2 linked regions of the Oryctolagus cuniculus genome follow. The main gene of each other region encodes a partner of the protein of the gene in region 2 in a complex. Links are inferred from orthologs where the notes say so. Each region holds a gene or a part of one and is shown on either strand. Other genes may lie near its edges.

Region 1 (3,673 bases), on a different chromosome or scaffold from region 2:
GGACAGGGCTGCAAATCAGCAGGCTCCCATTCATGCTTTCCAAACACTAAATCGTTTAAAACAGAAGATGCTTTCCTGTGCACAAAACTCTTTTCTCCAATCATGAACTACAACTCGTATTTCCACTTCCAGGGACATGGTATCTTCTATACTTAAAGTAATATTCACTTCTCCCTCAAATAGGCAATGACAAATGCTTGAGTATGGTGACATTTAGGCAGAAGCGGCTTTTCGTTTCATACACATTTCTCACAGGGAGGGGTGAGCACTCACTGAATACAACTATGACTGAATGCCATAGGACCACAGGGTTAACATTTACACATGAAACTGAACTGAGATTTAAAAAAGAATCAGCACCTCAGTGCTTTCTTTTTTTCCTTTTTTTTTTTTTTTTTGCTTGTGCTCCTAATGACTCTCAAGGTTGTACTTTAAAAAAAAAAAAACGAAGTCTGATTGGGTGTTTTGGTTTTTATAGGGATGGGAGAAATTGGGAGGAATGGAGTTTTTTTTTTTTTTAATGTAATACTAAGAAACATAACAGGTCTCTCCTTTTAAAAGTATTAAAAATATTAACAGGTGTATAATTTTAAAATTATTAAAAGACACTTTAGGAAGCAGCCATTTAAGACACACTTCCTTGGAAAATCTGAGCTGTTCAACCAAATTCACTTTATATTACCTGTCTTGACATATTTTTCCACTTTTTAACACACTGAAAATTACTATCCCTTCACACCAGATTCAGAGTGACAGATGCAGCTATTCAAACTTAAAGCAAACAGATTCCTTCTTCTCAGAAAGGGAAAATTAGACCCAACTTTCAAATAAGCCTGGATCTTAAAGAAAAATTAAATCAGGGAAAAATCTGCACTGTATCTACTTAGGCACTAAATGAGCTTTTCCATGGCGTGGAAGTACATTAAACTAGCAGGCAATAACACATTACTTCAGTACTGAAGTAGCAGACACAGGCACTAAAAAGACCCAAAGCCACGCCAGAAGTTAAACTGTTGCATGTAGGTGAAAAATTAATAGCGGGGAGGTGGTGTTTTCCTGCAATACAAAAGACGATCTTCATTAAAACTAGTAGCGTAGTCGAGAAAATCTTGCTATTGGCACACGTGACAAATCAGAATCATGTAAAGCCAACTGACTTTCGCAGGCTGCCTGCCCTCCTTTTTTTAATCTTTAACTTCTAGCAGGGGAAGTATGTGAACTTTAGGCTCAACTTCCTCTAGCCCATTCTTCCCTACAAGAAAATCTATTTAATTTATATATCAAGCCATCGACATGCAACTTCTCTTAACTTGGGGACTCCCTTCCTGACCTCTCCCACTTGTTGTCAGAATTTATAGGACCTGCAAGGTCACAGTCACAGGACGAGGCCAGAGTCTTTGCACTTGTAGCCAGCGACATCTCCAAGCTGGACTCTCCTGCTAGCGTCACCTGCAATTCATTTGCCTTCAAGACCTTCTGATCCCTAAGCCATGGCAATAGTTGTAGTGGTCTTTTCCGGGTCTCCTCCCTCTAGCTATTAGTGACCAAATCCTTCCTAAATAAGTGAGTCAGCAGGAAACAGCAACCTGCTTTGAAACACAGAAAACGTGGGGATTCCTTTCGGGTGAAGTCTACACACTAACTTCACTTTAGGACTAGGAAACTTGGTATTGCCACATTTGTACCCGAGCTTCTTAGGGTGGAGAACTTGCGATGATCTGCACCAAGTGACAAGTAGAGCCTGAAATTAGGAAGAAATATCTTGAGGTTCCCTCCCCCGGCCCCTGCCCTCCAATAGAGGGATAATGGAGCAGAGCTACAGAAGCCACAGGCGTAGGACGAAAAGTAGCCGACGAGACAGTTTCCAGCCGAGGTTCGCGCCTCGCCCTGTTGGCCAAATAAGGCTCCCGGGCGCGCTGCTTCCGTGGCAGGCGGGTTCAGACGTCCTCGCGGTCAGGGAGGCGGACCTGGGATAGGAGCCGGCGATCACACCCTAGACCTGCCCTGCCCAGCGCAGGCTACGGATTTTCTTTCCAAGTTCTGCCCAGTCCATACGCCCTTCCTTTTTCCACTTATTGTCAAACGCACCGCCTTGCAAAAGCCCCAACAATTAGGCAAGTTGTTTTTTTTTTTTTTTTTAACGAGCTTTATGTCTGGGCGCACAAGTTTTCCCTGAACAGGTTACACAACTGTAAATACTGGGGGTGGGGGGTGGGGATGAAGGATCCTCAGGACCCTGAGCGCACACACACACAAAAATAACTCACGTCTTCCCCCAAGGGGTTGGCGCAGGTCGTGGGGAGACCCGAGGCGGGCCGCCCAGCCACGCCGGCAGCCGGCAGGGGAAGGTCGGCGCGGCGGGGCTCAGGAGCCCCCCGGAGCCCGCCCGCACCACCCCCCAGCCTCCAGGGCGCTCCTCCCGGCCGACCCGAACTGCCAGGGCTAGCCCTACAGCCTCACGCCCACCCCCGCACTGCCTCTTCCCGGGAGCTCCTCTCGCCCTGGCCGCTCTCCCACCTCCGCCGCTCCGCGCCCAGAAAGCACCTGAGGAGCCGCCCCGGCCCGAGGTGCGCCCCTTCCTCCTCCTCAGCGAGCCGGCCCACGAGGAGACCAGCTTCTCCCCTCCTCTCTGCCACAGAGCCGAGACGCGCATCTGCAGCCGCCGGACACTCACCTCGGGTCCGGCGCGGCGCTGCCTCCGCCTCAGACGAGCGCTGACAAGTGACTGGCGGTGCGTGCGCCGTCCCCGCGGCCCGCGAGAACTTCCGCCTCCCGGCGCGGCAGCCCCGCCCCCGGCCCTGGGCACGCCCCTTCGCGCCAGGCCACGCCCCCAGCCGGGCAGCGCGGTGGGGCTCCGAGCCCTGACCCAGAAGGCGAAGGGGGTGCCCGGGGCGCGCGCGTGATGGGGCTGGCTGCAGCCGCTGCGGAAAACAATTGCGCTATCGAGTTTCGGTGGGAGTAGTGTGAGGGGATTTCAAAGGGGACCTGGCAAAGGGCTAACCTTCTGCGTGTCCGTTTTGCAGGAGGGTGCACTTCTCTGCCCAGAAAGTTGTATTGGCCAACAGTTGCTCTGGCTAAAAATAGAAGAGGACTTTGGCTACATCCCTATCTATGCAAGTTCAGCAGCTACCGCCTGGATTCTTCTGAGAGAAGTTGTAGGCTCCGAGAAGAGCAGACCCTGAAAGCTGCTTGTCGGGAAGGTGAAAATCGGTAGCCCTAATCTGCAGCACTGAAATCTAACATCGCGCGACAATGCTGCAACCACTTCATCTTGAACTTGTTTTTCTATATCCAGATCCATAACCTGCTTTCCTCCTTCTGAAAGTTTCCTCGATTTTGACGAGGAATTTATTCCTAGGCAAATGCGGATAATGAACTTGGAATACCCGGAAAGTAACTTGTAGATTCTTTTGCACTGCGAATTGCCTTGTAAATGTGAAAAGAACAATTCTTTCTTTCTTCCTTTCCCCTCCTTCCCTCCGTCCTCTCCCTCCCTCCCACCTTCCCTTCCTCCCCCCCTCCTTCTTTTTCCTAACAGAGAGATCTCCCATCCACTGGTTCACTTCCCAGATGCCCACAATAGCCAGGGCTGGGCCCAGAACTCCGACCTGAGCCATCGCACAGCATTTTCCAGGATAAGGGAACGGGAGAAAGGAAACTGGATCAGAAGCAG
Region 2 (3,646 bases):
GGCGAATTTACTCTGGCCTCAGGATCAGCCCTTAAGGCATCCGTATCTGGCTAAAAAGCCCATGAGAGTTTCTCAGGCAGGAAAGCCAAGACACTGTGGCAAAAATTGAACTAAATGAAAGATCTCTGTGAGTGAGATCCCAGTGGAAAGAACGGGCCATCAAAGAAGAAGGTACCTTTCTCTGAAGGGAGGAGAGAACTTCCACTCTGATTATGGCCTCGTCTAAATAAGGACGGAGTTTATGAACTCAAGAGGCTTCCATGGCCTTGGCAGCTCGTGACAAAAGCCTCGGGTGATTACTGACGTCATAAATAAGAGTGTCAGTTGTTAAACCAACAACAGGAGTCACTGTGTGCTTACTCCCCATGTAGCATCTCTGTCCTTAATGTGTTGTACTACGAGAATTAATGGTAAAACTAGTCTTTAAACAGTACTTTATACTTTGTGTTTCTGTGCGGGTACAAACTGTTGAAATCTTTACTTAGTATATACTAAGTTGATCTTCTGTATATAAAGATAATTAAAAATGAATCTTAATGAAGAATAGGATGGGAGAGGGAGTAGGAGATGGGATGGTTTGTGGGTGGGAGGGTGGTTATGGGGGGAAAAGCCACTATAATCCAAAGGTTGTACTTTCAAAATTTATATTTATTAAATAAAAGTTTTCTAAGAAAAAAAAGGTGAATTTGGTGGCCATCTACTTTTATAGTCAGGCATCCAGACTGGGGTTGTGTAAGCAACACTTAAAGCATCCGAGAATCTCATGCCTGTGGGTGCCAAGATTGTGTCTATGTGCAGTAGCATCAGAGGCCAGTAGAAAATGTATCAGAAGAACTAATAAAAAAAAAAAAAAAAAGAAAGAAAGAAAATGTATCAGAGTGGGGAATGTCCAGCACATAGGCCATATAAAGGCCATGAAATCGTGTGGTCTGGCCCTGCCAAGGCCACCACAGGCGAGACTTGAAATTCAATAAATGTATGGCAGACTAATTTTTAAGTTGATAATTTTATATGATCTGCAAATGATGTTATAAATATTCAAATGACCCTTGGCAGGAAAAGGGTTCCCCACCTCTGATGCAGACAGATACTCAGCGTGCTGAGCAATTGACTCAATGGGATGATGGATAACAGAGGACTTACTGATGGAGGTGTACTCATTTTGAGCCTTGTTACTGAACCTTGTTTTGAGGAAAAGAGTTTATCAAGAGGGTGGAAAGACATCCCAGGTGGGACAAAGCACGTGGAAAAGCAGTGAGGAGCTCCCGTGGATTTTGGGATATTTGCCCACTTAACCTCTTCTTTATTGTGTTGGCAAGAGAGAAAGCTGTTTGGATCTGGAAAAGTTTTAAGCCCTTACATGGAGTTTATTCTCTCTGCAGGATCCAGCAATCAGCCTGGCCTTTTGGCCAGTGTTCCCCAACCAAAAGCCCAACCCCAACCTAGCCAGCCTCTGCCACAGCCTCAGCCCAAACAGCCACAGGCTCCGCCTACCCCACAGCAGACGCCTTCCACTCAGGCCCAGGGTCTGCCCACTCAGGCCCAGGCTACTCCTCAGCACCAGCAGCAGCTCTTCCTCAAGCAGCAGCCAGCGCAGCAGCCAGCGCAGCAGCCAGCGCCACAACAGCCAGCGGGCACATTCTACCAGCAGCAGCAACAGCAGCAGGCCCAGACTCAGCAGGTGAGGTGGCCAGCGTGAGCCTTGCTGTGCAGAGCTGAGTCGTGACGGTGAACAGGCCCGCTAGGTACAAGGGTCTCCCTTGGGGAGACAGAGAGCTGTTAACCGTTCTACCATTGTTTCTTCATCACTCATTCCCACCCTTTCACCACCCTTCTCAGGCCATTAGCAATCTATCAGCTGATTGAGGAATCTTGCTGAAGGAGCTATTTTCTAAAGATTCTCTGTTTCCTTGTTTGTTTTTTTCCTAACCTAACTATACCACCATTACTATACTATATTGGGGGAATAAATAATAATAATTTCTTACTGTTGTCAAACATCCAGTGGTGTTTTATTTCTTTTTTTTTTTTTTTAAGATTTATTTATTTTATTTGAAAGGCAGAGTTACAGAGAGAGAGTGAGAGATAGACCTTTCATCTGCTAGTTCACTCCCCAAATGGCCACAATGGCTGGGGCTGGGCCGATCTGGAGCCAGGAGCTTCTTCCGGGTCTCCCATGTGGGTGCTGCTTTCCCATGCACATTAGCAAGGAGCTGGTTCAGAAGTGGAGCAGCTGGGATTCAAACCAGTGCCCATATAGGATGTCATCACTGCAGGCAGAGGCTTTACCTGCTAAGCCACAGTGTTTAACTATTTCTTATGTCTCGTAAATTAAGTTGGTTTGTTTGAATCAGGATCCAAAGTCCAGGTATTAATTTTAGTTGATTTATATTGTTTTGTTTTCCACTATTTTTTCTAGTTTTTCACAGTGGACAAATTCATTGTGTAATGATTGCTGTAGCTTTTTTTTTTTTTTTTTTTTTTTTTTTTTTTTTGGACAGGCAGAGTGGACAGTGAGAGAGAGAGAGAAAGGTCTTCCTTTTGCTGTTGGTTCACCCTCCAGTGGCTGCCGCGGCCGGCGCACCGCACTGATCCCATGGCAGGAGCCAGGTGCTTCTCCTGGTCTCCCATGAGGGTGCAGGGCCCAAGGACTTGGGCCATCCTCCACTGCACTCCCTGGCCACAGCAGAGAGCTGGCCTGGAAGAGGGGCAACTGGGACAGAATCCGGCGCCCCGACCGGGACTAGAATCCAGTGTGCCGGCGCCGCAAGGCAGAGGATTAGCCTGTTGAGCCACGGCGCCGGCAATTGCTGTAGCTTTTAAGTCCTCTTTCATACATAGGATTTCTCTCCCTCTTTTTTTTCTCTTTACAAATTATTTTTTTAGACACTGGATTATTTGTCCTGTAGGATTTTCCACATTCTAGATTTGGCTAATTGTATCTCTGTGGTATCATTTGATCTGTTCCTCCCTTCTCTGTGTAAACTGGTCATTTCTTGAGACTTGCACAATATTTTATTCTGTTTGATATTTCTTTGCTCTTCCTCTTCCTGTGGCATCGTATCAGGAGGACTGTAATATCTGATTGCCTCTCTTAAAAAGATCAATCCATGTGTTTGATCCATTTGTTTAATGTTCCCCATTATCTTAGAAGCCATTGGTGGTCATTTCTTAAGTCTCTTAATTCATTAGGAATGGCAAAATAATATTGCAGGACTTCTTCTTTGTTTAGGGGCTAGGATTTTTCTATGGGGAATTTTCGCATCAACTATTTAGTTACCCTGTGAGGAAGCTGTTTGAACAGAAAAGACAGGAAAAATACTTGAGTGTTTTCCTTTGTTTCCCAGTCTTCAGAATAATTCATTGTTTCCCAGTATTATCCAAAGATGAGCAATAAGCTTTTTGTCTTCTTTTGTTTAGTATATTTATGAATTTATGGATTTTAACATATTTGTTATCTATTAATACATTGAAGTTTTAAAAAACTTACTTGTGTTGGTCAACATTGTTGTCCCAATGTTGACCGGTGGAAGTCTCTTCAGAATGGCTATGGGTCCTTTGGATGTGGCTCCAGTGACCTCTAATGGTGTCCTTGCTACCTAGGATAATAAGCTGTTTCAAGATCACTGCCTTACACCTGGAATCA

What was found. Proteins that work in one complex are often made in the same cells at the same time.
Region 1: the proteins of AAK1 (region 2) and PDLIM5 are in contact, whole or in part, in a crystal structure (PDB 9F6S), measured with the Homo sapiens proteins. The link is inferred for Oryctolagus cuniculus from reciprocal best matches to the Homo sapiens genes AAK1 and PDLIM5. Residues at the interface, in NP_055726.4 of Homo sapiens: Asp956, Leu958, Ile959, Asp960, Leu961; in NP_006448.5 of Homo sapiens: Ala12, Pro13, Trp14, Gly15, Phe16, Arg17, Leu18, Phe24, Gln67, Ile70, Lys71.

Annotation. Positions count from the first base shown.
Region 1 is NC_091439.1:71,014,150-71,017,822, forward strand, and holds the start of PDLIM5 (PDZ and LIM domain protein 5), read right to left. Parts: upstream 2,829-3,673; 5' UTR 2,675-2,828; exon of another isoform or gene 2,545-2,674; intron 1,968-2,544; exon of another isoform or gene 1,686-1,967; intron 1-1,685. UniProt on the Homo sapiens protein: May play an important role in the heart development by scaffolding PKC to the Z-disk region. May play a role in the regulation of cardiomyocyte expansion. Isoforms lacking the LIM domains may negatively modulate the scaffolding activity of isoform 1.
Region 2 is NC_091433.1:133,152,277-133,155,922, forward strand, and holds part of AAK1 (AP2-associated protein kinase 1), read left to right. Parts: intron 1-1,382; coding exon 1,383-1,681; intron 1,682-3,646.